Drosophila melanogaster: one gene and its partners. The protein of the gene in region 1 interacts with the protein of each later gene in a pairwise test. Each region holds a gene or a part of one and is shown on either strand. Other genes may lie near its edges. The genes, in order: CG3598, ninaD, PIG-C and Pex3.

The links.
Region 2: the proteins of CG3598 (region 1) and ninaD interact in a two-hybrid assay, tested with the Drosophila melanogaster proteins (one large-scale study listed by BioGRID).
Region 3: the proteins of CG3598 (region 1) and PIG-C interact in a two-hybrid assay, tested with the Drosophila melanogaster proteins (one large-scale study listed by BioGRID).
Region 4: the proteins of CG3598 (region 1) and Pex3 interact in a two-hybrid assay, tested with the Drosophila melanogaster proteins (one large-scale study listed by BioGRID).

The regions. Positions count from the first base shown.
Region 1 is NC_004354.4:2,933,773-2,940,868, forward strand, and holds CG3598 (uncharacterized protein), read left to right. Parts: upstream 1-3,254; 5' UTR 3,255-3,355; coding exon 3,356-4,174; 3' UTR 4,175-4,301; downstream 4,302-7,096. Other genes in the region: CG3592 (uncharacterized protein), read left to right, coding at 1,398-2,147; CG14420 (uncharacterized protein), read left to right, coding at 5,711-5,780, 5,883-6,694.
Region 2 is NT_033779.5:18,080,070-18,088,030, reverse strand, and holds ninaD (neither inactivation nor afterpotential D), read right to left. Parts: upstream 6,404-7,961; 5' UTR 6,367-6,403; coding exon 6,238-6,366; intron 6,179-6,237; coding exon 5,876-6,178; intron 5,808-5,875; coding exon 4,996-5,807; coding exon of another isoform or gene 4,992-4,995; exon of another isoform or gene 4,935-4,991; intron 4,933-4,934; coding exon 4,842-4,932; intron 4,778-4,841; coding exon 4,571-4,777; 3' UTR 4,423-4,570; downstream 1-4,422. Other genes in the region: CG31741 (uncharacterized protein), read right to left, coding at 1,875-2,030, 2,095-2,188, 2,409-3,205, 3,335-3,763; Arr1 (arrestin 1), read right to left, coding at 7,837-7,884, 7,945-7,961.
Region 3 is NT_037436.4:3,314,730-3,321,963, forward strand, and holds PIG-C (phosphatidylinositol glycan anchor biosynthesis class C), read right to left. Parts: upstream 4,504-7,234; 5' UTR 4,464-4,503; coding exon 3,963-4,463; intron 3,861-3,962; coding exon 3,501-3,860; coding exon of another isoform or gene 3,423-3,500; 3' UTR 3,299-3,422; downstream 1-3,298. Other genes in the region: Drsl3 (Drosomycin-like 3), read left to right, coding at 305-520; Drsl4 (Drosomycin-like 4), read left to right, coding at 908-1,123; Drsl5 (Drosomycin-like 5), read left to right, coding at 2,106-2,315; Dpm2 (Dolichyl-phosphate mannosyltransferase subunit 2), read left to right, coding at 5,068-5,176, 5,786-5,922; CG12016 (uncharacterized protein), read left to right, coding at 6,016-6,987.
Region 4 is NT_037436.4:15,141,084-15,149,504, reverse strand, and holds Pex3 (peroxin 3), read right to left. Parts: upstream 5,151-8,421; 5' UTR 4,956-5,150; intron 4,837-4,955; 5' UTR 4,724-4,836; coding exon 3,566-4,723; 3' UTR 3,126-3,565; downstream 1-3,125. Other genes in the region: CG32147 (uncharacterized protein), read left to right, coding at 5,496-5,708, 5,795-6,256; Pdi (protein disulfide isomerase), read left to right, coding at 7,052-7,205.

The DNA of each region.
Region 1 (7,096 bases):
CGAAAAAAAAGAGCGGACACTATTAGGCCAACATGCGAGCACTTCAGCTGGCCAGTTGACAACATTATTCCAGCATTATTCAGGCAGGCGATCGTTAATTGTTTCCAACGACAATAGGCCGGGGTTAACGCTCAGGCAAGTGGCCAAAAAGCTGGCTAAAGAAGCTGGATGCTGCCAGGCAGAAAAGCCCGAAGAAAGATTCGTATTTTGGATTTGTATTCTTCAATTTAGGCGTGTGTGCAGATATTTGGTCATAAATTCCCCCCCGCCCCAGGCAAAGGTCAGCACCTGCCGAATCGGTTTTGGCCATATAATTAAAGCCTGAGAAGAGCCAAAGAACGGGCAATGAACTTTCAACTCAATTGGGCCCAGCCCATAATTCGGACTTAGGCCAATTTATTAGCCAGCTGCCGGAGTTGGACAAAAACTGAAAAACCAAAACTGGACAGCAGCTTTCTTTGTGCCGTTGCCTCGTTTGAATATGAATCTTTGAGGCCTGACCCCGTTGAACTTCTCCTGCGGCACATTCTTATGGAAATTAAGTTTGCGTTTCTTTTATTTTAGAAATTTTTCGCAGCAGTTTCCGCAGCCTGTTGCCAAGCGGATTTTACTGTGACTTCTTGAATGTCTTGAATAAAATAAGTTTGCATAAAATTGACCCAAGTGCTTGTGGATTTCATTTTTTTGGGGGGAGAAAATCGATTTCAAATTAGCGGATTTATGAAATATATTTAAGACCGTTTAGCGAATTTATATACAACATACATATATGCTAATTTTTGGATGACCCAATTTGGCCCAACAGTTAGTAAGAGTTAAAAATTGAAGACCACAAAAACAAAAATTAATTTATGCGTTCCCACAAACTTTGAAACCAATTTCCAGATCTAGATTAAAAAAAAAAAAACAGTTACTAAACTCTGTACTCTTCGAACTTGGAAAGTTAAAAGTCTTTTTTAGGCATTACAAAATGATCTAACATTTTGGAAATTATATTTCACTATGAATATTTATGAAATGAGATAATATCGGTATATATTAAAGGCACAGTTCCTAAATTGCTGGAGGGAATAAACTATTCTATTTTCTAAAAATACTTCTTTGATCTTTTTAAATTTTTGCCGATGAATTTCAACCTGTTGAAAATTAATAAAAAGCGAAATGAATAGAAATTTAAGAATATAGAATTGACTTTGGTAAATATATTCCAGTTTCCAGTGGGCAGCTATAAAAAATGGTTAAAGGACCGAGGCAAATATTGCATTTGAACACTCATATTATTATCCAAACTATTTGCAAATAATAATTAGTTTAAATTAGTCAGAATGGCCATGACTGCAATATCACTTTTATATCTAAAAGCTGTGAGGTAAAAAAAAAAAAACTCAAATCTGGAAATGAGTCAAGGGGAGAACGCAACCACTGCAAAATTGGTTTTCTATGAGTTCGCATGGCCACTTTTGGTAGCCGTTTTCGAGGTGAACCTCTACAGGATCATTCTGGAGCTTTTGGCCCACATCCTGCTGATCGTAATAACCGTGGTGATGGTCAAAAAGACCTCGGGTTTGGATGACCACAGCAGCGGCCAGCATGCCCTATACGCCATTTTGGGACTGTTTCTATGCGTGGGTGAATCTCTGTTGGTATGCCACTCCTGGTGGTTAGGAGACTTCATCTCCGAAAACCGGCTCAACCTTCTGCACATGGTATTGGGAATGGTGGGACTTTGGCTGGGACTGGTGGGGATATTCGCGAAGAGTATCTTCAAGAGCAAGATACATGAGCCGCACTTTAATTCCAAACATGGATTGTGTGGCCTTTTGGGATTCCTGCTTATCGCTGGGGCCGTGGCCAGTGGTTTCGCCCTGGTGTGCTTCACCCACCTGGCTCTGCACGTCATCCACCGATTGATGGGCTTGTGTGGCTTTGTGCTCCTCTCGTGCAGTCAGTGGTTCGCCCTCAATTTGGGATTCGCACGACGGGAGTGGAGTAGTTGGAAAATTAAAAGGCTCAGGATCTCCACGCTGGCCGCCACCATTTCAGTGGTTAGCTACGAGTTCCTCTGCCTCTGTAGAGACATTGTCCATTTGCTACCCAACAGCTGGTTCAAAGCCATCGGATTGAAAATTGATCACCTTCACAATTAAATTTTATGACCAAGCATTGTGAATAATTAAATTGAAGTGCTGAAGGCAATTGCAAAATGTTTATATTTTCTAAGCCCTACCATATAAAAAAGTAAATCACACAAAAATTACATTTATAGGAATTCTATTCAGCATGACAGCAAATATTTGGAAGATCAAGTGAAGTTTGTTAATCAATTTCGAAAGAAACATTAGCATACTTTCTGACTTTCAACTGAGAAATCCCTTGGAAAACAAAAACACTTTAATATCTATGCTTGCTATTTGGTCATATTGCAGTATGCCTAAGATTTTAAACAAGTTTCAACATTGTTTAATTAAGAAATAATAAATTCCGTGTCAAAAATTGTAGATTTATTGCACGACTAAAGAAAACAGTAAAATTACAGAGGGCTCGCATGTGAAATATTGGCCAACCTTCAGTCTTTCACCTGTACAATTGGCCATTTCCACGCATAAGAAGCCTCTTGGCTGGCATATTAATCACGGGACAAAGGCATAATTCCATCCCAACGTGGCTCGATCAATCAGCGATGCTGGAATACACATTTGCCCCCTATACCATACACCCCTTTCATCGATATTCACATTGGTCATTGGGTATATGACCGGTGGCCGGGGATGGGATACGACCACTTCGCATGCGTCGCTGACTCCGAGAGCAGGTCCATCATAGGTTCGGATCGGCCCTTGACTTCTCGGGTTTCTCGGTCTCTTGGGATGCCGAGATTTGTGCGTGTCTCTGATTGTTTTGTCATTAGCATGACCGCGGCGCTTTTTTTTTTTTTTGGGCCTTTGGTGTTTTTGGTGATCTTCGACTTTTTGATTCGGCGGCTGCTGATTTATTCAGCGCTCTTTCTTTTGTCCCACCGGCGGGTCACTGACATTCGTTTCTAATTCTATTTTTCACCATTTTCTACATTTCTTCCACAAAATTTCGCCACTTGAAATTATGCCGACATCGACCGCAATTATGACCAATGTTCTTGTGGCCTGAGTGGGCTCTCTCTTCTCGGTTTCTATGGGTTCTAGATTATGGATTCTGGATTTTTGGCCAGAACTTTTTCGCATAAAAACCTAATGCCGCCGCCACAGATCGTACAGTTCTGTTTGGGCCTTGCTTACAATTAGGATCCGGTCGGCAGTAAATCTTTAATTTCTGTGCACTTTACGTCGAGAAATCTTCAAAAAAAAAAAAAAAAAACAAGATGTCCAAGCTGGGTGCTATCTTGTTGGTGGGCTTGTGCCTGTTTGTGGCCGTGGCCTTGGCCGAGCCACGCCTTCAGCACGTTCAGGGGCGCAATCAGGTGCAGGGTCAAAGGGCGCAGCAGCATCCCTACCTCTTCCTGTCAATTCCCAAGGGTCGGGCCAACGCCGGCGCCGTCGTCCAGGGCTTCGAAATTGTCGAGGAGGAAGATGATGATCTACATGATGAGGACCAGCACGATGACGAGACGGAGGATGACGAGGAACTGGAGCATCAGCTGGGCCTGAACTTTGCCCGCAGCGGTCTGGCTTACAGGCAGAACCACGCTGATGACGAACAGGACGATGATCAGGATCAGGAGCAGGATCACGTTCAGGATGAGCTGCCCAAGAAGCAGATGATGGTTAACCGGGATCAGGCTGGTGCCATTATGGTGCCCGATGGCATTATCGAGATCGAGGGTCAGAGTGTTCTGGACGAGAAGACCGGCAAGGCGGCTCTCCTAGTGCCTCGTGCCGCCCTAGACGCCATTCCCGATGGCGCGGTGGTGGCTCTTATGGAGCGATCCGCCTCATCCGTTGATGAAATCGAGGAAGAGCGCGCCAACCGCGTGGTAGTTCGTCGCCGCAAGAACAACGGACGCAGGAACATTCGCCGCCGCGGCATCAACAACAACAATATCCGACGCCGCCGCCCCGCCCAAAGGCGTCGCCGAGTGGGTGGCAACCGCAGGCGCAATGTACGCGTCATTCGCCCCCAAGGCGGCAACCGTAGGCGTGGCAACCAGAGGCGCCGCGGACAGGTCGTATTCCAGGGTTGAGACACGAAACGAAGGTCGTCCTAGCCCCATTTCTATATAGTATTATAGTTAAGATCCCCTAACGATCAGGACAAGAAATTTGAGACACTTGATGACGATGCGACAAATAAAATGTGATATGAAAATTATAAATATTTTTTTTCGTATTTTTTATGGGTGGTGAAATTATGATGTGAAATTAACCAACATGCAAAGACTATGGTTTTGAATCATTAAGTTGAAACTTATTTTAAAGGTTTTGCCGTAAAACATCGTATACTACTTGTATAACTTTATTATTTATTTATCATATATGGTGTACCATTTCCTAGCAGTGTATAAGATACATAAGATTGCTTTGCCTCAAAATAGATCACTGCTTAGCTCCATTGATAGAAAAATTTGCATTTATCATGGAGTTTATTTGTATCATGGTTCAGCTTTATTCCAGTTTATCCTTTAACTTCGACACAACCTTAGTTATAAGTCACTTAATGCCCATAGGCTATCAAAAGTATGATATATGAATTAATAACTGCAAATTTTGTATGATAAAGGATCCGAAAATCAGATGGTACACACATATATACAAACAATGGTAGAGAAACTCATTTGAGAACATCTCTATAGAACTGTAAAAGTTTCGTAGTAAACTATTTTTGCTAATCGTTTGGCCAACAAAATAGGTACTACCGAAAAATAACCGTTTAGAGATAAAATTCATTTGATTGTCGTATATTGGAACCAAAGATACTTTTGGTCTTATCCAAATATATATATTAATCAAATGAAAGTTTTAAAAAGTCACGAAATAATTACACAATAACAGTATGTACAATACAAATGTTATATGGAAAATTAAAATATATATTTATTGAAATAATTTGATGTCGCATTCTGATTATATTTTGTCATTGTTTTTGGGAGAGCAAACATACAAAAATAGATAAGCACATATTTTGGAATCGTTGTCAAGAAAAGATTTGCCTCCGAACTATGCAATAAATCGCGAACCCTTTGTAAATTATAAATTTTGAGATTTCATTAAGTTTTGATTTTTTCGAAACGAATTTGGAGACTTCAGTTGAGTACTCCATTCTTTGGTGTGGAAATGCCGAGCACTGAGTGAGCTGAAGCAAGCAGAGAACTGACATCCCAGAACATCTGTGTAAGCCAGATTCCGTGGGTCAATCTCGGCTTGACGTCAATCAATCATCGGCTACTCGGCGATGGATAGAAGAATGGTTTTGGCAAAAGAGATGGGAAATTAGCATAAAATTCGTACGCCTCTGACCCGCGACCCGGTTCACTTTGACCCCGGGCGAACTTTTGCTAATAGAGCTGGCCAAGAAGTGGGAACTGAAAGGAAATGGGGATGCGGGGCGGATGATAGCCATCGATCAGCTGTATGAGCTCCAAGTGGGTATAAAATCCCGGGTCAGTCCATCAGTTGTCAGTCAGTTGTGAGTGAAAACTCAAAGACAACAAGTGAGTTAGGAACCCTCGATCCACAGTCAAGGAAGCCGATTATCCCGATAAGGAGAATCCATCTGCAGAATGCATTGCCTGCTTCAACTGAGTCTGGCTGTGGCCCTTTGCGCCCTCTTAGCCCCATCCACTACCTTGGGTGAGTCCTCAAATATTAACAGAAAGTCGTCAGTCAAGTCACAACTACTTTCTTTATATGTTCCTTAAATATTTCGTATAATTTTAAAATATTTTATCTCAGCCGAACGCCGCAATGTGTACCGCCTGGGTGGACGCGCCTCCGACGCTCAGATGGAGGCCCGCTTCACCTCGTCGATTGCCAACAAGCTGACATCTCTGAAGGGCACCACCACGACGACCACGGTTGCCCCCACTACCACCACCACGCCCACCTCCACTACGGAGACGACCACGCCGACTGCACCAACAACGTCCACTGGCACCTCGACGAGCACCACGACGCCCACAACCTCCGACACCACCACCGGTCGTGCCTTCCCCGCAATTCAAGACGATGTTGAGGAAGATGATGAGGAGATGCCCAGGGCGTTTGAAGATGAAGAAGACGAAGGTGATGACAGCCTGGAGGACGAAGATGATGACGACGATGAGGAGAGCTACTTTGTGGCCGCTCCTTCCGCCGGTGGCAATAGCAATGCCGTGCAGCAGTCCTCAGAGTCCGGCTCGTTGGTCCGCCCCTCGGAACTCCAGTGGCGCCAGTTCCAGCAGGAACAGCGCAACCGTCGCCGAATCCAGCGCCTCCAGCGTGAGCACAACCAGCGGATCAGGTCCCTGCTTCGCCGCCAGAGGGCCGCCGAGAAGCGAAGCCAGCAACGCTTGCGCCGCCAGCGCCAACAGAGCCGTAAGCGCGTCTCACAGCGCCAGCGCCGCAACAGGAACCGTTCCAAGGCCCAGCGCCAGCGCCAGAGGAGGAACAACATGAACCGTCGTCGCCGCCAGCAGCAGCAACGCCAGCGCAGACACCGCCAGCAGCAGCGCCGCCGGCTCGTGCGCCTCATGCGCCGTCGTCGTCGTGGCGGACGTCGCAACTAAGGAGTTGATCCCAGATCCCCAACCGATCCCAGAACCCCCGAAATAAACTGAACTTGTATGCAAAAAAAAAGCAAATTTTTTTTTTTCATTATTACGAAAACAAATAGCGAAGGGTAAACTACAATGTTAGATCATTGCAGCATTAAGATCTAAACCAGTAAGAAATGGAATTCTGTATGTAATCTATACCTATAGATCAGTCTTGATTTATGGAAAGACTTTATGACAAACAATTGGACAAAACAATGGATGAAACCATGGTCATCATATGAGATAACTAAGATTCTAAATATCCCCATGATTTTATACACCAACTTAGATTAGATGCAAGAAATTTGTATTGGGTCACATTGGTCTAAATGGACATTCTGTGCTATTGGAAAAACTGCAGCTTAGGATACC
Region 2 (7,961 bases), on another chromosome or scaffold:
GGTCGCCGGACGAGAGGGGCACCCAAAGTGGGTGGAACGGGAGGAGCAAACAAATTAGTATGCAAGTCAGGCAGCCGATTAGGACACCGAAGTTTTCGCGACATAAACGGACGGCAGGCCACAATGGCAACATCCCATCCCATCACATGCCCTTCATGCCATTCAAGCTCTTTTTTTTTGGTTTTTCGGATTTAGCCAAAATAATGAAGTCGGTCACTGACGCGATCTGTTGCTTGTTATGCCTAGAGAAAAAACCGCAGGTTATGGTAAACACAGGTGAGTCAGGTGTTTTGATTTCTTGATACCGAAGTCGCTGCACAACTATTTTATAAAATGTTTGTATATTATACATAAAAGTGCATTTTGTGTTAATTTATCTTCAAAGTAAAATATTTATTTGATTATTGCTGCTAACAATTAGAACATGACGTCCCTCAAGAATATAATTCCGAAAGAATATTTATAACTGGGTATCATACACATTAAAAAGGTATTAAAATGTCAGCTAGTCTTCGCACCTTGACAAGCAATTTCCAAAATTAAATGTTCTTGTTTCTGTTCACAATTTTCAGCTCTACAGCTGACAGACTGCCTCTTTTTGTGTTATTTTGGGTCCTCTGTCGCTTTTGGGTGTTGCTTAAATATTTCATTAAAAATTCCACGCACAATTGCACATTGCTGTGGTTTCTTGACCAAGCATAGAACAACCTAACTGGAATAAGTCCATGTTTAATCTTTAAAATAACAGTGGCTAGAGAATTTTACTGAATTTAAATCGAATTACTACCACAAAATGGCTACTGCAAAGCGTTTAGTGTCAAAAGAAAATGTGTCTTACGAAGAATGTAGCTTTATTGGGAGGAAGTTTCACATTTGCGTAAATAAACAATAAATTTCACAGGCTCAGATGTAAATCAAACTAAAAACAGATAATCTAATAAAATGGTACAAGTTGAAGCCGAGCAGAAAAATGATAAGCCACATGTGCTCTAAATTTTAGTAAAAATGCTATGCAATCCTTTCATTTAACCTCTGTCAATTTGTCAACACATTTTCAAATTAAAATGATCAAGAATTCAAGAATGTTTTATTACTATGAATAAAATAGCATGGGTTTCGTTAAAAAGGAAATTCTCACTTGGGCCCAATAGCAAAATAATTTGAAAAATTGTAAGGATAATTCACTGGAATGATCTTAAGTAATTTGATTTATATGATAAGATTTAAGAAATAAACACTTTGCAATTATTTATATTGGTTTTTATATTACAAATAAAACATTCTTATTAAAGTACTTACTTTATTACCCCAGTTTTCTTGGCCCGACAGAGATTTTGCTAAAGTTATGGCCGACACATACTGGCAGTCATATAATTTTCATATTTTCATACATTGTTTAACTTGTTCCTTCGCCCTTTTCGTGGGCCACGAACAATGTGTGTGCAAAACGTAAGTTTGCGTGCTTGGTGCATATAAATTAGTCGCTTATAATATTCTTTTGGCATTTTTCAAATTTCCAGTTCGGTATTTGCCGGCTCTGCCTGGTGAAAGAGTTCGTACGCCATAAAGTATGCAGCTTACGTGCTCAAGGATTTCTCCCTTCCCGCCTTCTTAGCATAGCATGAACGAGCAGCAAAAAACAATTATTAACATATTAATAAATTTTAGCATATTTGAAAGGCCATAATTTAGTGTAATTCTAGATGCCTGCAGCTGGGCAACACCTGAGGGAAATTGGATAATCCAGCCAAGCACGTAATTTGCATTTTTTATGGCCGGGCCTTAAAGAGCCCTGACTGATTATGGCCTTAAACAATGCCCAAATATTCCCATTGATTAGCGAGATTATGGCTTTGTTAGCCTAAACAGTCTTATCAGTTTTGAGTGCATTGCAAATGTTTGTCGGGCCTTTGTTCGCTGTGCCATTTGTGTTTTTTTGTGATGAATATTCCAGTTACGACTATTGACATTCCCAAAAGAACTAAGCCAATTCCTGTATACATTCCAATAATCGCAGCATTTAGGGCAAGCTATTAAATAAGGTATTACATTTTGTTATTCATATGTAGATATTTTCCATGCTTTCCATCCTACCTTCAATAGTTTTGTGAGCCCTTCGTCTAATTCCGCATGCAATCTCATTGTAAATAGGGGTGCATAATGATCATAGGCCACGTTCTTGAACAAGCTGGATAAGGAGAAAAAACAAGTTTTTGGTTTAGATCTTGACCCTACATTGATATTAATATTTTCTTTGTCTTTAAGCTGATACTATCTATGTTAATAGTGACAATTTCACAGGTACAAGAAGGACGATTTTACGTTCCTGTGTAAATTAGTCTGTGTTAATCGTACTTTTCTTGAACAAATGGTTTTGGAGACTGGGCAGCGTCAAATAAAAAACTCACTCAATGGCCTCGTCGCGCACCACTTTCGTGCTAATCATAAGCTGCCCCCTCAAGCTCAATGGAATGCCGAGAGTGGGCTCCATTATCACATACATGCCGTGCTCGGATTCCTCGGGCTGCAGGCCAGTGGTGTTTTCCCTGTACATTTGATCTGTGAGGAAGAAGTGCGGATGCGACATGTAGAACGGGCCATTGAAGGCGGGAGGACCGTAATCCAGGACTCCGTTGCGCGGGCACTCGCGATTCTTGAGGCAAAAGCACTCAGTGTCCGGCGACAGCTGGCCATTATCGATGGTGAGATTGGTGGACTCGTATCGCCAGACATCAATGCCGTCTATGGTGAGATTTTCCTTTGGAAACAAGTTCAAGTACCGCGCTGCATCTGGTAGGAATATGGTGGTGGGCTGATCCCACGTCCTGTACGGCGACCAGAGTTCCCCCGTGCTGCCATTGACCTTGCCGCATTCGCCGGGATAAAAGCCGGTGGTGTTCTCTCCATTCCACAGGAGCAGATCTCCCAACTGGCTGAGATCCCCACGGCCAGTGTGCAGTGTAAAGTTTCCCTCGGCCGTCTTTGAGTTATTCCTCTCGTAGAACCAGCCAAAGGTGTTGTCGTAAACCGGGAGCAGGGGCGAATGCAGCTGCTCCACGAAGTCAAGCAGATGGTCATAATAGCCATCAAAGAGCCACTGGCCAGCTGTGTGGGTCATATGGGTGGCGCCGCCTTCGCGATTGAGAGTAAAGTTCATGACCTTGCGCAGGATGCGGCGCAATCGGCGCGAGTACAAAGCAGCTGTCTAAAGCGTATAGCGGGATTAGAGGGGATTACTGGATGTGGCGACAGATATTCGGACAGAGATATTCGGTATTCTTAATGTAAGTTTTGCCGTCAAATAGCATAGCACTCAACCTTTAATCAGACTTACCAAAGTAGGAAAGTGTGGGGCTATAACTACATCATCAAGCGATCCATTTGACTTTTCCGGTAGAAAATGCCAGGTACGTTTGCCGAAGTAGGTCACCTGGGGCTGATTCCATTCCAAATCTTCCTTGACCTTAAAGTCACTGAAAGTGTAAGGCCCCAGCTGCTCAAAGTGCGGCTTAACGCCCTCGGTGTTCAAATCCCCCGGATTAGTCCAGTTGAAGAGGAAAACTGTGCTATATACCGGCGTGGGCGTAGTCACCCAGCGATTGTAGATAAAAGAGTTGGGAGCCAGGGGCAAAAGACTTCGAATCCATTGCCGAGATACGGCTGGCCAGGCTGAGGCCAGAAAAATCCCAATTGCCAGGATCAGGCCTCCCATGGAGAAGACCCAGATCTTTTGCTGGCGCACACTGCAGCAACCACAACGCATCGCCTCCGATCGATTTCGATACTGGTACGTCAAGCAATTTAAACGGGGATATTTATAAGCGAGCCCACTTTTGGGATACATTGATGTTCAATAATGGGAATGCAAGATTAGATTTCAAGAGCAAATTAACAGGTGATTTTTTTATTTTTATATTTGTTTTGAATTCTCCACTTGGAACGCTTCTGATAGGCTAATCTCCGAAAGCTTTTTCAAGTGGCTTGTTTTACGGCCTGAGTTAAATGTTATACGAAGTTTTGTGATTATATTTCGTTTCACTCATTAGATAAATCATTAGATGCACTGTAAAAAAGAAAATACAACTGAGATACGAAATCGTTTAAATAGGTATAGGAATCACATAACTATTATACAAATTTGTTGAGTTTTTTAAATCTTAATTTTAATGATTTTATTTAATTTTCTTTTTCTTTTGTGTATATGAATTAATTATAAACTAAAAAAGACACACAGATGATGTTTGAATTTTAATTTTAAAAACAATTAAAAAATGTTCTAAAATAAAACCTTTATTTAAAGAGCCTATTTAAATTTGTGTACAAGCTTCTATAAATTCATTCACTCAATCATTTAAAAAACCACATAGATAAATATAAGCTTTAACTAATTTAATTATTGTAAAATGAAGACAATAGTTATATGAGTTTTTTAAATTTTATTAATTTTTTCAGTTGTTTAGAAGTTTTATATTTTAAAGCTAGAATAAAAAATGTTTAGAGTTATTTATCACATATATGTTTTTTGAATCACATCCGTGTGCTGCTCATTAAAAAAAATGTTAATACTAAATTAAAAGTTTCGTTCGACCACGTTGGCCGGAACTTCCGGTTCATATGGAGTTTCCTCGTTATCCTTGAGAGCCAGTTTGTCCAACTCGGCCTGGCCATACCACTTCCTCTTAATGGTAAGTAAGATGCCAACTGCTATAAGAATGCAGCCCAGGCACAGGAATCCCACTCCAGTATATCTCCCTATAGCCGGTAGATTCAGTGCCAACTAAAAGACAAAATGCATTATTTAAAATAGAAATCAACGTAGTTCAACAAGCTCTAAAACATACCCTAAGTTCTGAGGCGAGGGCTTCGTCGATTTCCGCTCGACTAGCAGTGGTAAAAAGTGGTGCATAGAAGCTGGGCAGGCCCTTCAGTATGCTAGGAAAAAATGTGTTTATCAAGTCATATATATGGTAGGCAACAATTATTGTAAATAATTACTCTATAACGCTGTCTGGCTCTATGTACAAGGTAATCATCACATTGGCATTGACCTTCAACGGCACTCCCATCTTGCGCTCCATGATGATATAAAAGTTATTTTGATCGTAATTCGGATTGTAGCCGCTTATCGTGCTGCCATAACTTTCGTCCGCGTACATAAAATGATCCGCAGAAAGGTACATGGGAACTCCATCGGCACACGGTCCTAGGTCAGTGGCTCCGGTTGCAGGACAATTATCTGGCTGGCGCTCCAAAGGACACCAGCACTTCGCGTTACCATTGATCTGTCCATTGTCGAAGGTATTCGGCGTTATCTCGTACTTCCAACCCGTGATGCCCTGAATTGTTTCGCTCTGTCCGGTGAACTCAAGATTTATGATCCGACAAGTATCCGGAATGAAGATGGTCAAAGCCTTCTCCTTGGGCTCATCGGGCACAAAAAGATCCGTGGTGCTGCCATTGAGACGTCCACATTCTCCATCGTACCATCCCGTGTGATTCTGGCCCTTCCAATACTTAATTTCACCCATCTCCTTGATGTCACCCACTCCGGTGTGTACAGTGAAGGGACCCTCGAAGTCCTTCGATCCGTTACGGTTGAGGAACCAGGCAAAGTGATCCGACTCGATTTTTGGGACCAATGGATTATTCAGGGTCATGGCGTAATGCAAAAATTCGTCGTAGAAACTTTCGAACAGCCATTCAGCTGCCGTGTGGGTCACAAAGAGATGTCCACCATTCGCATTTAGGGCCTCGTTGAACATGAATTTCAGGAAGACGTTGCTATTCCGCATTTGGTTTGAAGCAGCCTGCAAAAAGTGAAAAAGGAAAACTTCTTTTAGACCAAATTGTTTTTTAATAACTGCTTATTTCCTACCAATGAAGGTAAATGTGGGGCGGTAATTAAATCCGTTTGCTTGCCGCCAGAGAGCTCCTCTTCCCAGAACCAAGTTCTTCTGGGGTTAAAGGTAACTGTGCCATTGTCGTGCCACTCAAGATCCATCTTCTTCCTCTCCTCTCGATAAACATAGGGTCCAAGTTGCGCGAAAATAGGTTTTACTCCATTAGCCTGCACATCTGCGGCATTTGTCCAGTTCCAAAGATACATGTAGACATACACCGGAATGGGCAGCTCCTCCCATTTTTCAAAAGTCTTTGAAGTGGGTGTCAACGGCAAGGCCTTTTTAATAAATCGATTAGTACTCCTCCTTAATTTTATTTTTATACACCGCCTCTCACCTTCATAATCCCTGAGTCTATAAAGCCAGGCCAGCATATTATGGCCAGGAGTCCGGAGACCGCGAAAAAGGTTCCCAGGCCGAAGACCCAGGCCTTTTGTTGGGTCACCCCACAGCAGCTGCAGCACATATTGAGAGACGAAACAAAGGCTTTCGAGCGACTGCAAAGTGGAAAAATATCGCTCGAGTTTTTATTCATGCGTCGCTTAGTAGATTATCCACTAGTAAATAAAGCAGCGGCTAATCATCATGTCTACTGTGGTAATCAGCTCGGTTTGGTTTGCTCAACTTATTCTGTGGGGTGATTGGGATCTAAGTGTGTGTTTAGAGTACCAAAAATCCTGATAAATGCAAAACGCTGCACTTAGTTTATTGAGAGTGCTGGCTAATCAGCCAGACTAGCAGTAGTAGCTATTTCATGCTGCCACGTACCAAATACCACTTGGTAACTAAATCAAATTTAACGATACATGGTACAATTTTATTTATAATAGTATATAAAAGTAATTAGGTACATTTTTATTTTAGGAATTAAGTTTCGTTTATCAGTTCTTAAGTTTTTAATAGCATGCCAGAGTGCTTCCTAATTCGCATTATAAATTAACTTGAAGCTAGTTGATTAAACTATTAATACGGTCAACTATTTTTGCCTTGACGCTCGCCCATCTTATCGGTTATATAGCATGTATGCTTAAATTAGTATTTGCAATGCAATTTTTATGGTCAGCCACTATAAAAGATCACTTCCAAAGACGGCAATCTAATCTTCCTTAATGAAATTCGATTAATCCCATTACGCAAAACCATTTTAAACTCATTACCCACCTGGTCTGCCGAAATGTTGGCAGCGTGATTGATCAGTATTTCAACCCTGACTATTGGAAAATTTTGATTAGAGTGGCGTTATCGTTAATATTGGGTGCTTATTAAAAGTGGGACTGCAAACATTCACAAATTAAATGGATGCGTTTGAAGTGTGTTCGCTTAAATTTTACGATTTCAAAGTCCAGCAAGAAGCTCACCATATTATATCAATTATTGTCCATTTTCCTTACTCGAATTCAGTTCAGTAAACTTCCTCCAGCATAGTGGCCAAGTATTAATTAGGCTGCTCCTCGGCTTTTCAGAGTAGCAATAATTGGAATTACTAAGCCACAAATGCAAGACCCACTATTAGTAATTGAATAGATTGCACTGGCTTCTGTTGATTTCCCCATTGCACTTCAATGTACATAATCAGCAGACATTGCAAGATATCAAATACTACGAAATGCCTTCGTAAGCACATTATTAAATATTTAGTGCGCATTCCATACAAACTTTCAATGCTGGAGCCTTTTCAAATACACCGTGCTAAATTCAATAGAATACTCCAAAATACATACATAAACTCTGTTCATATTTAATTGTTAGTTGAGTTATAAATATAATACACATACACACATACAATATATGGATATTGGATTTGCTATATAGGAAAAGTACGACGACTGCAGTTCAGAACATTTCAGCAACATCAGCATTTTTTAGGATCTACAAAAATCGGTTTGACTTGTAGAAATACGCCATTTTTTTCGTTGGTTGAGGTAGCCCTTTCAGTTTAGGCCTCAATGGAGCCCTCGGCTTCCAGTTGGGCCTTGCGACTTGGCTGTAAATAATTGATTGCCTTTCAATAACTATTCAAATATTTGGGCACACCTTTTATTACCTTCGGGTGCATCAGAA
Region 3 (7,234 bases), on another chromosome or scaffold:
TGAATGTTTACATACATCATTAAATCGAAAAGATAGCAATTCTAGGTAAATAACTTATTATGATAACGATGCATTTTTAAATCAATGAAGTTGACACATGGCACACATAAATCAAGTGTTTCTGGAAAACTAGGATTATATCGGTTATTGTTAGCTTGAATTTCCGAGAAGCTTATCGATTGCTACGATCAAATAAAAAATCTTAAAATCTGTATCTCTATATAAGCGTCCCCACGAGTGGTCGATGCCAAAAGTCTTTAAGAACTCAAGTAAAATTCCCGACTCGTTGAAAACATCAGTTGTCATGGTGCAGATGATATTCCTGTTTGCTATCCTTGCTGTAATGACCATTGTCCTAATGGAGGCCAACACTGTTTTGGCACGTGATTGCCTATCTGGAACTTTCGGAGGTCCTTGCTGGGCCTGGAGTGGAGAAAAGTGCCGCCGTCTCTGCATTGAGGAGGGACATGTCAGTGGACACTGCAGTGGCGCAATGAAGTGCTGGTGCGAAGGATGCTAGATCCACTGCAGTTCAAAAGTGCATGCTGTTTTTTTGTTTATTCTGAGCCAATAATAAATATACTGTACACCGCACAGTAAAAGGCACGTAAGCATTGCCTTTCAGGAGTTATCTCTTGATTTGATTTAATATGTATGTGGTAAGTATATTAAACAAAAAGGTGCATCAACATCAAGAAGGTATAGCAATTCTATCATCCCAAAATAGCGATGCGCGTTTTGTCGCGTAAAAGGCCCAAAAGTATGCCTTTCGAAAGTTATATTGCAGTTATTTGCATTTTCACCTTTATGCTAATCGGTTAATATACAAATTCTGTACCTATATAAGAGTGCAGTCGGACTCAAGAAACTCAAAAGTAAAGATTTTAACCAGAAGAACATTCTAATAATGGCTCAAATTAAAGGATTGTTTGCTCTCCTCGCTGTGGTGACCATTGTCCTAATGGTGGCCAACTCGGCTTCGGCCGTGGATTGCCCATCTGGAAGATTCAGTGGTCCTTGCTGGGCCTGGGATGGAGAGCAGTGCCGTCGCCTCTGCAGGGAGGAAGGACGTGTCAGTGGACACTGCAGTGCCAGTCTGAAGTGCTGGTGCGAACAATGCTGAGGATCCTCATCGTCCAATATGTTTGACACATATGTGTGTCATATGTTTTTTATTGTTTTGAAAAGAAAAATAAAGAATATACTTCACAGCAAATAATACAGTTTTATTTCTACTTAAAGAACGAATCCTTTTAAAATCATAAATTTACTTCGAAAATGAGATTTATAATGGAATGGAAGAAATAATTAAATGATAAATAATCAGAGTTAACTTCAATAGAAAGCTAAAATTCATTTAGAAAGAAGTGGAATATATAATTCAACTCATAATAAGCATTTAAGAAAAAAAAAGCATAGACTATTTCAGTCTTAACAAGAGTTGGAAAGGCCATTTTCATTTATGAACACAAATCTTCATTTACCAGCACCCATATCACTTTATGGGAAATAAAGATAATCTTGTCATGTTAATATTTCCAACAAATTATCAACCGTGTTACATCGAAAAGTGCAAGTTTGGTGTTTGAATCCGGTTCTGGGTTTTCCTAACAAACTCGACAGTTTTACAATTTATGAATAAATTTAATTAATGAAACTGGTTTAATTAGTTTCCTAGAAGTCTCGTGATAAATGGCACATTGCATAAAATCAATGTCGGCAGATTATTAATAAGCCATTTTTAATTTTCCATTAGAAAAACTACGCATTCTTACTCAACTGCTAACTGAGAAGATGGCAGTGAAACTTTTTAAAAAGAAAACGAAATTTCATGCGACTTTTCTTAGACACTTACCGTAATGATCATTATCTCGAAAGAGAATACTTTTTGAAGTCAGTTTTCGTTGTCTTATCAGCCCTAAAGTATGCCCTTCCATGAAATACAATTCAATAATTATCTCCAATTATCTGCCAATCAATTCCAGAAATACGACGAAGCTGGCAGAGAGATCCCGATCCCTATATAAAGCGGTTGCTGGGGGTTTGGACTCATAAATCAAGTTCGAATTGTTCCGACAGCAGCACTCTGATTCAAAACCGACAACATGCAGATCAAGTTCCTGTACCTCTTCCTGGCTGTGATGACCATCTTCATCCTGGGCGCCAAGGAAGCCGATGCCGACTGTCTCTCTGGAAGATACGGAGGACCCTGCGCCGTCTGGGACAACGAGACCTGTCGTCGGGTGTGCAAGGAGGAAGGACGATCCAGTGGCCACTGCAGTCCCAGTCTGAAGTGCTGGTGCGAGGGATGCTAGGCCATCCTTCAAGGCGCGTTGCTCTAAATTGCCGGAAAACTACTAAATGTTATAGTTTGTTGATAACTATAAATAAATATTAAATATATTATTGCAACGCAAATGATTATTTCGTACTGGTTCAACTGTGATACTAACTATGTGATACTAAGGTATTTAAATGTACGTACAAAGGACGGATAAGGATTGTTCCTTAAAAATGTTAATATTAACTGATGACGTACTCGAAAAGGTTTTCTTCTATTCTTATTCATTACAAAATATATGAATAAGTACATATAAATATATTCTCAATTAAAACTAGCTAACACCTTAATTCTCTGACTTAGTCTGTGAAGTATTGAAAATTTAACGATATTTTAAAATAATTTGTTTTTATTCAGATTGTAACATGCTTCAAATACTGCTTAAGTTATTCTATTTATAGGATGAATAATTGCAGAAAATAGAGCGCTGCGTACAGCGATACTATATGATGTAATCTGGATTATTTATCTCTCAAGAATGCTTACTGAAACTGTGGAAGTAGCTTGCAGGACAGCATGCATTACATAGATAGGTAAAACGCAGAATACTAAAATAATTAAATCTCTGGTTAGACTAGGAACTTCTGGGAAACCCAAGGGCGTGCACTTAATACAGATGTCACTCATCCATATTCCATAGTCTATTATTAAAGCAATTGCTTCAATTTATTTGCGTTAGATAGGGTCAAATATATTCAATGTATGCTCATGCGAATGTTTAATTGTTATCTACGAAACGGGTTTTAGTCGCTGACGATAAATAATCTTTAACTAAATTTATTTTTAGTCTGAGTAAAACACAACCAAGCCAAAAAACTCACCCTGTTAATTTAACTCCATTATCTTTCAATTGAAAAACCTTTGCCTTAAGTTGATAACAATTTATTTAAAAAGCCATTCATAGGACCAAAAGAAAGTCCCCTAAAAATTACACAAATTTAAAAGTGCTATGGTTTTAAACACAAAAAGTATAATTTATTAAAACGCTACTTACAAACTAACAGATATAACATGATACAAAAGATTAACATCAATGGCTTGGAATGAGTTTACAAAGTTATAAAAATAAGCGTGCAATGGTTTAGCGATCAGTGAAGTGCTCCTCGACGTCGCCGCTACCCAGTCGTGGCGGCAACTGTTCTGAGAAGCGCAGCTGGCGCTATAAGTTCCCATCCAGGTTCTCCTCGGTGTTCTCCTCCACGATGGCCTCGTCCCAGGGCCCGTGAATGTTGAACTTGTACTGCTGCTGCCACACGAATATGAACGGGCAGACAAAGTTGATGAAAATGGTGGTGGAGGCGTAGAGATAGAGCACCGGGCGCGATATACAGTACAGCGCCATACAGCATATTGCAAATATAGGCAACATGAATCCAGCATGCCAATTCGCTTCCGTCATTATGGGATAAAGGACGAAAAAGACGGCAGCCTCGACAAGGAGCACGAAGGCGTGATACGAAGTCGGCAGGCGGGAGGCTAAGCAAATTGCTCCAAATATGGCGGCATTCAACGAGACGGCCTGCGCTTAACATGGAACAAGAAGTATTTGTATTATATAGGATTCTGAGGTGGAGTCAAGATCAATATACAATCAACACCAATAGCCGTAAATATTGCCTACCTTAGAGACCATGGCTACATCCAATCCATAGTGTCCAAATATCAGGTTGCCCAGAAGGACAAAGAAGGTCATTGTGTATATGGTGTCCGTGCTGATGGCCTGCGTTAGGGTGTGCAGCATCGGTGAGAATAAGTAGCCGAAGAGGACCACTGTGACCAGGGTTTTGGAATCCTCGCCCAGCAGGGCCCAGCTGAGACTCCTTCCTCGGTAGCACAGGTATCCAATGCCTGTGATCCCGCAACTGGGTACCAGGATCGTGGTGGGCGACACGCTGTCGCTGAGCATAAGTTGGTAGAGTATTAGGAAGCCGGTGATGCAGGAGATCTGATTATTAAGCACTGTAATACCGGCAATTGCTTCGCCGAACGTGTATATTCTACAATGTAGATTCGTGCGCAGATCCTTCAGAAAGCTGGCATCCGTGTAGTTGTCCGGATATTCCCGGTTGGAGTACAGGTTCTTCACCCATGGCTGCCGTTTCGATTGCCCATTTTTTACCATTCTTAAATTTAAAAATTGTTTGTTTACAATTCTATTAGTGCTGGGTTATCAGCGTTCGATAGTATCAGTTACTATCGACATATCGATATTGTTTTATCCACTGAAAAGTATTGAAAGTAAGTGCTGGTCACACTGTCATAGTGATGCATGTTTCACTTGAAATATCGATGATGATAGTTTAATTTGAAATATTAATAAACTGTTCATTATCTAAACAAGGGGTTTTACAGCAAGCTAATAATATACAAATCTTATTCTGAAAATTATCCCCAAGCAGAAGTGACTCGCCTACATCGATAAGAACATCCGCTGGTGTTGCGCAAAACAGTTACTCGAGCTATCGATACTTGTTCGAGTGGTTGAACCACCACTACCTTGAATTCGGAAATTTTTTGACGCACTTGTTTGTTTTGTTTACAATTACGCCACGAAAGTAAATCGGCAGCTACGAAAAAACATTAGGGATTCGTGCGGCGGGTAAACGATCAGTGGACAGTGAAGCAGTCCGTCCGGGGAGAACGCCCCATGAGCAGTTTTACAAACAAATCGCCGGTCGCGTGTTCTCTCGCCAGAGAAACCCCAGAATTTCCGAGAATAGCTATTTATGGCTTCGAATGCGCAACTCGGGAAAATCATTTTGATATCTGCAATCGCCGTGTTCTTCTATTACTTCTTTTGGGTGGCCGTCCTCCCGTTTATGCTCATCGATGAAGGTGAGTTTTCCACGGCTTCCGTTATTCACCCGCTAATACATAAGTTTTATTGAATAATCTCGCGCTTTTGTATAGTAATTAAAGTGACGCCGCGGCGTAAATTGGTCACGATGTTCAATTATATATAGTTGGCAGTGTACGAGGATGAACCCGTGTGTTTTACAGAGGTGACCACCCTAACACGGGTTACCTGGAATGCGGCTGTACGATGCTCTAAGCTCGGGTCAAGGTCACCGACGACTAGTGATGATAGGAGTACAGTATTCGCCCGATATGTGCACAGTCAAACTAGTTAGCTATTGTAGAGTCTAGGCATGTACAATCAGCGATAAAAACGAAAACGTGCTTAACCAGTGGTACCACTGTATTATGTGGTTCCAAATCTGGGTGTGTACTTAGCTAATTATTTTCGGTAGTTTTTCCGCCTGGATATTGGCTCTTCACTTTATACGTAAATATTTCATGATCGTAGTTTTGCCGTTCCGTGACAATTTTAATTTGTTGCTATTAAGAGTAATCATAAAAACAATATACTTACGTATTTTCTTTCCTGGCCTGTTATCAAATGAAACACTTGTGAACATGAGTATACTTTACAAACTTTTACAGGCAATCCCATTCGGCTGTTCTTTCCACCGCTGAAGTACGCTTTCATTGTGCCCACCGTGTTCGGGGTGATCTTCCTCGGCGGCATCGCCGCGTTCTCCTTTTACCACATCTGGAGCCTGAGAGTGAAACGTGATTAAGGGGGTTATCCGGGGGGTTATCTTGCTCGGTGCGAACGCGAACGTACGATTCCACTGAAAAACAAGGAAGAGCGATAGTCAGTCGTGGACAAGATGCCGCAGTGGCTGGTCATTGGTATCTCGGGAGTCACCTGTGGTGGCAAAACTACGCTAGCCCACAGCCTGCACGACTACTTCAAGGGTCTGAGAGGAGCGCCGCTGTGGAACTCGCCGTACACCATTGGCGAGGTGCGTCTGATCTCGCAGGATGACTACTTTCTGCCCGTGGAGGACAAGCGACATCAGCGAAATGAGGCGCTCAACGCCATCAACTTCGAGCTCATCACCTCGCTGGACATGGCCAAGATGCTGAACGACATAGCGCACATAATCAAGGGGCGCCATGTGGCTCCCGAGCCACAGGAGCACCTTGTGACGTATGCCAACTTCGAGCACTACGCCCAGCAGTTCCAGCAGCAGTACCAGTACAATGCGAACTACTACAAACAGGCCAATGGCGGGGTCTATCAATATCCGCCACAGCAGCACCCGAGACATCACCCCCATCACCAGCAGCACCACCACCAGCACCATCAAATCCAGCAGCAGCAGCAGCACATTATGAGCATCAATGCGCAGATTGCCGCCCAGCTGAGGGACAAGAAGGTCAATTTCCTCCTGGTCGAGGGATTCATGATCTTCAACCAGCCGGAGCTGCTGGCCCTGTGCAACATTAAGTACCACTTCCATCTGCCATATGAGAAGTGCTTCGAACGGCGCAGTAAGCGCACATACGATCCACCCGATGTCACGGGCTACTTCGAGCTCTGTGTGTGGCCGCACTACGAAAAGAACTTCAGCGAGTACCGCGACTGCAAGGACATTACATTCCTCAATGGCGAGATCGCCAAAGAGAAGATCCTCGCGTTCGTCCTTCATCGCATCGTCCACTACTTCAAGGAGCGCTGCGAGGTTCCAGCTCCTGCTCCCGTCGTCTGCCCGCCGCAGCAGAAACGGTTCGGTATGCTCTACATGGGTCCGAGCAATAACAACGTCATGCCGTCGGCGTGTCCCATGGAGCAATAGTTTGTCCTTGGATTCAGAGTACAATAATTGAATATTGTATAGTAGTAGGATGTTAAACGGTTCAAAATTGTTTGGATTACTTCTCCGAATCGTGGCTAAAATTCCCATATTACGTTATAGTTGTAAGCTACTCTAAGGGTGGTTCGATTTTAAATTGTTAAAAGTATGATCTAAAATCAATTATTTAATTCAAATTAAAAATGTGAGTTTTTGGAACTTGAGCAAATGTTAAGCACCGCAAAGTCCA
Region 4 (8,421 bases), on another chromosome or scaffold:
AAGCCATATTTAATGATAAACTGTGCACACTTTTTCTTCACTGTATTCTTCATTGGGGTCTTCACTATCGCATTTTTGACGTTTTTGACAAGCAAACAGCAGGAAAAAGAAGAAAACAGTAAGGAGTGGGGATAACCAGAGTGGATCCCCCAGTTTGCATGAAAAATGTAGTTACAGTCATTCATTCATGTTGCAAAAGTAGGACTCCGATGGGGATACAACCATGTACATACACATACATATATAGGGTTTGGGTAAAGGAACGGAAATGGGAAAGTGGCTCGAACAAACAAAACCACATGCAAAGGAATCTATAGCCCGAAGTAATGAAAACACCTCACATTATCCATAGCAATAGTACTAGTAGAGTATTATACGAGTTTTCTTATTCACGTTTCACTTTACCCGGTTGATTATACCGCAGTTTTGGGTTCTTTGAAAATCTCCAAACAGTTTACTATCCGCATTCGAAGTTCAAACCGATTCAATTTGCTATGTGCTTATGCATAAACGGTTCGCTGTAAACTAAACCATTTTCCCCGGCTTTTCCACTATTCGATATTTCACTCTATGCTTCTTATCAGTTGAGTTCATGGGAAATGCAAATACTGCGAATTAGTAAATATAGTAATGTGTTGATTTTTTCTGGTACCTCCCGCTAATTGAATAATATTTTATTTGATCACAGATAATAATAATATTTAAAATATATTTATTGCTCAATAAAATTGACTAATAATAATATTAAAACTGCTCTAGAGTATACACCATTTCAATTTCATAATTTCATTCCATGCAATCTAAGGCTCCTAACTAACCAATTTACCTGAATTCTAAAAAACGTCCTTTGTATGCCAAGTAATTGCCTTCCACGGAAAACCCATGACGCACTTTTCTTTAGCTTGAGTCGTGTCCTGCTTTCGCTTCCTTAATTTATGTGTTTATATTTAGTTAGGTGCTGTGGCCCCTTGTCACATGGCACTTGATCTACGCCCTTAGTATGTCAATATGCCTATATATACTGTGCAATATAGGACCCCAAGCACCCTAAAGGGGAGGAATGTGGTAAAAAGGTGATGGGTGCAGGGGTTGCCTGACTTGCATGCATTGTTTTCCTCGAATTTCCCACACGGACTTTGGCTGGGGAAAATGTCATTTCTTTGTTATCTTCACGCTGACGCACTTGACTTTCTTGGCTACAAGTTAATACTCTTTGTTGAAGGACATGTTATGATTTGCTGTACTATGCTTTGATATACCCAATATTTGTTTGAATCCGAAATATATATACATACATATATATAAATTGGTTATTTCTTTAAAATTTTTCCAATCTTATTAATGCTTTCTGCATTTGTTCAACATTTTTCGACGAATAGCGTATTTTCTGATTTTTCAAGATGGATAGACATAAGTGATTGGATTAAGAAAGCCAATTAAATTTGTCAAGAAATAAAAAATAAGAAAAATTGTAATTCGTTTTCGAACCTTTTTTAATTTTATTAGATGTGCATATATACTTTTAACCTTTATTAAAACCTATGCCAGTTGGAAAACTTTTATTTGATCCTTAAGATTTTGAAAAAGCTTTTTGATCCTTTGATTTCATTTAATTAAATTTTTTAGATTTAAAGCCTATACCAAATTCGATACTGTCATGACTTTTTTAAGGGTACTTTGTAGTGCCTTACCATTATTTCTTGAGCACTCGTTTCGAGGAGCTGCCTTTGAGTAGTATTTGATTGTTTCTTCGCAATTAGTTAGTTTGCTCACTTGTGGCCCTGCTAATAATAAAGTGTTGATATTTTTAGACCTTATAAGAGTGGTATTCCCGTTACTGCCGTTACTGCCTTTCCCCCACACCACCGCCTTTGCAGCCCCCTCCCACACCACTGTACGCACGCACTGTCTGTCCCGTTACCAATATACCGCTGTGTCTGTCTTTTTCGCTCACATGTGCTCATGTGGCCTTTTGATTTTCATGTTCAGTTTTCTCTTTGTCTTAATCAATATATTTTGTGGTCGGCTAGTAAAAAGTTGATGGGCTAAGTGGGCTTTTAGCCCCATCGACTGGTTAATAAACATTTTGCAAGTGCACTTACACAATTGAGCCGCCGTTGTTGTTGTTTGTTTGTTTGACGGTGGGCTTTCCTCCTTTAGCTGGCTTTTCCAATTTGTGTACTTTTTGCAGTATTTCTCATATTTGCACACTCGGTTTTAACTTGGCTTCGAATCAGTTATTCAATGCATTTCTTTCATTTTTGTATATTTAATTATTTTTTTTACACCAACACATACGCAAAGTCTCGCAGGGATGTATAAAAGTAACTGTTGTCCTTTGCCTTTTCACGTAACTTTTGCAACTGCGCCCAAAATGGAAATTTTGTACCAGACAGCTGGGCACCCGAAGGAGTAAGAGAGACGGATGTGAAGAGAGAGTCCTGCGAGAGCGAACAAGTCGCAGAGGGGCGAGCGTGATGTAAATGTATCTAATTACTTTCACCTCCTTAAGCATAAACTTGGTTCAATTTATGAAATCTTTTAAGTTACTTTCTGCTTGATAGTTATTCATAATTGTTATATTATAATGAATCTTCGCACATGCGGCATTTCTGCGCAAGTGCTTGAAGAGAGTGAACAAGGGAGAGAGCGGCAAGAACAAGAGAAATGGCAAACAAACAAAAGCCACAGACACAGCTGTCTTATCACAGGGCGGTTTTCTGCCACCCCCTTTTGACTGATAGCAAAGACAACCGTTACTTGTGGGTTGTGTCTTCGATAATTCAATTCTTATATTTTTATACATATTAAGCATTTATAACAAGAGAGAATGCTATAGTCGAGTTCCCCGATTATCAGATAACCGTTGCTCCGTTACTAAATTAATATATTATGTACATTTAAAACCGCAAACTGTTAGAAACTTGGAGGAAAAAGTATATAAGAATCTCGTATATCTCCGACATAATTATTGAATTTATTTCTTATTAATTCAATACAAGTATGCACCTATGTACGCATGTATAATTTATCATTCTATAAATCAATATCTGTTTTAATTAGCTGTAAGAATAAAAAGAATAAGTTCCTTCAAAAACTTTAATATGCAAAATAATAGTCTTTAAATACGGGGAATGCATAGTTTATTAGGTTGCCATTTGTTTACACTTCCTTTAAGATTAAGACCCAAGCTTTCTAGCATGGTATAAATAAATAATCTGTCACTTATCATTCTATTAATCAATTACACTTTAAATTACATTTTCATATAGTTTGGATACTAAACTACCCTCAGGTCCATCCTATATGATTCTCTCATATGTTGCATTTCCTAACTTTCCATTTAGATTAAAAGGCCTTCACGTTACTCGATTTGTGTCCCTGCCCTGAAAGGATTCCCCGTGGACGAAGCTAAACCTAATACGGGTTGGGTTCAAGCAGACATACAAACAATGCTTCTGAGAATACAGATCTTATTAAAAATATACAAGTATATAAACTATAATTTTCCAATTGTCTTAGCCTAGCCTATGCACGGATGCATAATCCAAGTTTTGTTGATCCTCTAAGCGGAGCTAAAGCTTTCGTAGACGTTGGCCCCCAGCGTCTTTGTCTTCTCGGCGACCACGTAGAAGGTTAGCAGTTGGGTGGGCAGATTGTGGGGTCGCGAAGTGGTATCGAAGCCTCTCGAGGTGAGACCACTGATGATAGGAATGAGCTTTGCCAACGCCAACAGCACTCGGTTGATGTTCAGCAAGTTATTGTTCTCCAGACCGTTTTGGCTCTTCGAGGTGCTGGCGCCTAAGCTTCCTGCCTGGTTAAACTTGACGCTCTGTTCTTGCTGCGTTTGGACTTTAGCTTGTGGCAGATGCTGCAAAGTTTCGCCCATGCTTTCGGCGATGGCATCGCAGGCCAGCACAAAACCACGGCTTACATTGTGCGAGCACACGCCAACGGCATCCTCGCTCTCCAACAGATCCAGCGTCTCGTTGACCATCTTTTGCAGCAGCGGCGAATGACTGGGATTCTGGCTGGGCAGCAGATACTTGCTCATTCGCGAGTTGGGATCCCGACGAGTGTCCGCATTGATGGCCATTTGCAGTGACCAAAACAGTTGCTCCAGGTCGCTAAGGGAAAGCTGTTCGGAGAGCGGTATGGTCTTGGTGACTGCGATGACCTGGGTGCGAATGTAACGGGCTAAGTCCCGGATGCCCGAATCCGTGATAAAGTGTCGGATGAGGGAGAGATACTGCTGCTTTAGCTCGTCGGTGACTTGTTTTTGTTCCGTCATGATGTCCCGATAGATGTAGCCACCGAGAAGATTTAGCTGGACCCTCAACGCAATAACCAGCATGGAGGAGGCGTAGACATAGGTTGCCAGTCTTGTGAATGCCACAATTTTCATGTCCTCCCAAAGTTCCAACTTGTTCTTGGGATTCTGGCGCAGCTGCTCGAGCAGCTCGTCCGTGCTGCACTCCCTCAGAACCGCTTGGCACATCTCCTCGCCCATGCCTAGGATCACCTGGTTACACGTCTTCTCCGTCGACTCAAAGTGGGTCGTGCGCCGCGTTCTCTCGAAGAATTCCCTGGCCTGTTTCTCCTGGAACTCCACGAATCGCCGTTGTGCATAACGTGCCGCAAAGATGGTACCGCCCACCAGAACGCCGGTCACTATGAACTTTCGCCGGTGGCGTGACAAGAAGTCCTGCAGGCGCGACAGCATGTTAACGATTGGAAAAGGCCTCTTCTGCCGGATGGACAACTAGAATCCGCTTCCTGTGTGAAATAGGCCAACTGCTGTTCAGATATCCCACTTTTTCCCGCTCCACCGGCGACCTGTTCGAGGTTAATAAATAGTTAATGTGCAAAGTTCACCTGTGTGCGTAGGGTGGTGCGCTGCCGGCGTCGCTGCCAACAGAGGAGCGTCCTCCACTCATCCGCAGCGATTAGATTACCAGGTAGTGCTCACCTATATACCCCTGCTCGGAAACTCGGATCTGGTGCGCCGCCTTATCGGGTCGATTGCTGGCCTTTGGATCGGATCTAGCTCTGGAATGTATGGAATGGATTTATCCTTTGTTGTTGTCGCTAAATGTGTTATTTCTCTGTTTGGTGCCGCATACTGCGTCGTCTGTTTCCGTTCAAGAAAAATCCCAAAAGTGCGAGGTTCGGGAATACCGAAAAATACCATTTCGTTTAGTATATTTGGTGTTACTGTTTAAATTTTTATTGAAAATGGGGATGCTTTTTAGTTATTTATTTTTTCGTTATTTCGAAGTGGGTTCAAAAAAAAATAGAAAATATAAAATAATGTTAATTCACCTATAAATGACGAAAAATAAAAAACTTCGATATGCTCCAATTTCCACCGTTCCGCCATCGTCGCAAACATTTGAAACGCATGATTCAAAGGGTGAAGAAGAAGATAGAAATCATATGGTATTTAAGATAGTTCTGTTGTTGGTGGGGGGTTTAGTTTAGTTGGGGTGTTTGTTATGGCGTCGTCAGATCGAAAGCTCATTGTAGTCTCCGGATTTGGTCCATTTCTCGGTCACGAAGCGGTCAACGCCAGCTGGGAAGCTGTGAAACTGCTGCCGGAAATCCTAACTCACGATGGCATAGAATATGATCTGGAAAAGCGGTTGGTTTCGGTGGAATACGGGGCTGTGGACGAGGCGGTGGCGGAGATTTGGAAACGCCAGCCATATGTAAGCATCGCAATTGAACCATAAATAGATAGAGGCCTTATGATATCATCTTTCTCCCAAAAAAATAAAAAACAAAAAAAAAACAGCTTGTTATCCATGTCGGTGTTTCGGGCGTTGCCAAGTGTGTATACATCGAGAAGCTGGCGTACAATCACAAGTTCCGCCGAGCTGATAATTGTGATAAAAAACTGGCCAACGGCACTTGCGAACTACCCAACAATGGACATGCAAATGTCTTGAAGACCGAATTAGATGTGGATAAGATTGTGGCGGTTGTAAATGAGAATTGCGCCGATTGTGTGGGACCCACACAACAGCCGACACATAATGATAATCTCAAATCCCTGAGCGCCACAAAGGCATCCAAAAATGTGGGTGACTTTCTCTGCGGCTATATCTATCTGAAATCGCTCGATATGGACAGAAAACGAAGCCTGTTTGTCCATGTACCTCCTGTAGATAGGCCATTTAGTAGTGTTAAGACTTCGGAAATACTTTTTAGCATAGTCGAACAATGCATTCAACAGGTGGTCGCTTTTGACTCCTGAATTCCGCAAAATATTCTTCCAATATCTGTCTTTTTAAGAATTATTTACATGTGTGCTGTTAAGTTGTTTAAGAAATGAGTTTTATTCTTTTTAAGATACAATATTTTATATTTACTTTTTATTACAATGAAACAGAGAAGCAATACAACTGCATTAATAATTACACAGTCTTTTTTGCGTTTACACAACACCAGTCTTTATTTTAAAAAGGGTAAATGACATAAAGAGAATGACGTAAGTTATTTAAAATAAAATTTAATAAAAAAAATGAATTAAAAAGAAGAATTATAAGGCCTTTACAAATTGCCTTATGTTAAATACAAGTTAACTTATATACAATACAATACGATACTATTTATATCACAATATTTTAAAATTATGGTATTCGAAAAAACCGTAATATTTAAAAAAAAAATAGTACATTACTGAATTAGTTAAATATAAAAATAAAACTTCAAATATATAAACGAGATCCTAAACTAAAAAAATTTACCTTCGACGATTGCCAACCTTTGGGCACCCAAGCGCCACCTACAGTTCAATGCTCATTCATTGACAAATATCGATATTAGTAAAATTTATCGGAAACTTGTAGAGAAATACCAAAAATCCCTCACCTAATTCAGCTTTATATGTATATATCTCTGCGTTTCACTGTCACTTGAATTCATTTGAATTTCTACTTGCAACCGGGCAAGTTCAGCGCAGTTCGAATCCCAGTTTTGGTTGGCGAGTGTGCTGCACCCACATAGGGCAATAGATTCAATAAATATCAAACGACGACGAGTGCCCGCAATGAAATTCCTGATCTGTGCACTTTTCTTGGCGGCGTCCTACGTGGCCGCTTCCGCCGAGGCGGAGGTCAAAGTTGAGGAGGGTGTTCTGGTGGCGACGGTGGACAACTTCAAGCAGCTGATTGCCGACAACGAGTTCGTGCTGGTCGAGTTCTGTAAGTACATGCTTAGATCGAAAATAAGGCACGAAAATCTCAACAAAATGTGGCAAAAATCGAATATCAAAATGCGAAATGCGCCGGCCGCTAGCGCGCTCTCACTCGCACCCGCTGATTCATGCGGCTTAGCGGCTACGTGGTCTTTCAAAGCGTCGGAGAAAATCTGTCTGCGTGGCAGTTGTTGTTGACTTGAAATCTGGACTATCATGTTGCACGGCAAATCCTAGTTGATCAATGGGCCAACTGACAGACTAGTTCCAATCGGCGGCCTGGAAAATTTGTTTAGTTGATTTTCCAGCAAATTTATCGTTTGTTTAACTGTTTTTATCTCTCTCGCGTCATCTTGTGTTTTTTTTGTGACGGGCAGGGAGGAGCGCGCTCTCTCAAACGCAAGTGCCATCTCTTTTCCGCACCTGTGCACGCAAGCGAGAAGGCCTTATAGCCTTATACTGCAGTACTACTTGTTATTGTTGTCGCCATAAACCTGCTATAATTTTGTATTCTTGCAAATACTAAATGCCAAAGGAAACAATAAGTTGTGCGCAGCATATGCTTTGCGTTTTATCGACATTTCTAGTTATTGTTCTAACACTGCGCCCGTGGGGCGTGGCCACAGCATATCACACATCCGCTTCAATAATCTCCGACTGAGAATATCTAATGGAAACAAAAGGCAACAAAAAGTTGTCGGGCAACTCATCTCTTCTCCTCCCACGAATCTAGGTTAGCCTGAGCAAACCAAACCACTTTTTATTCGCCATTTGCTTTCTCTGGTTCGTTCTGTTTGGATTTTTTGGTTCTAATTCTCACTTACAATCTGGTTTCTGTCCCTTTTTCCACGGCGGCGCAACGGCCATACATTGGAAAGTTCATTCAACTCTTTCTCTGCGTCTTTGCGCGTGCCTAACGGTGTTGCGTCGCCAGTGATGCTCGGCACGAGCAACAGATTAGTGTGCATGGTAATTAGCTAGAAAATAGCCAGAACTGGGAAAGAGGTGTAATTATATACTGCTGTAAAATGATTTAAAATGTTCATTTGAAAAGAGATCTGACCTTTAGAAAATTTTTGTTTTATATTATGAGCAAAATTGTCTATTGCATGTGTTAAAAGCCTACAAACGGCCTGCAAAATATTCGTAACGGTTATTTGTATAACATTTTTATATATAATATATACAGCTTAGGAATAGACAGTGAACACGCTGAAAAACTA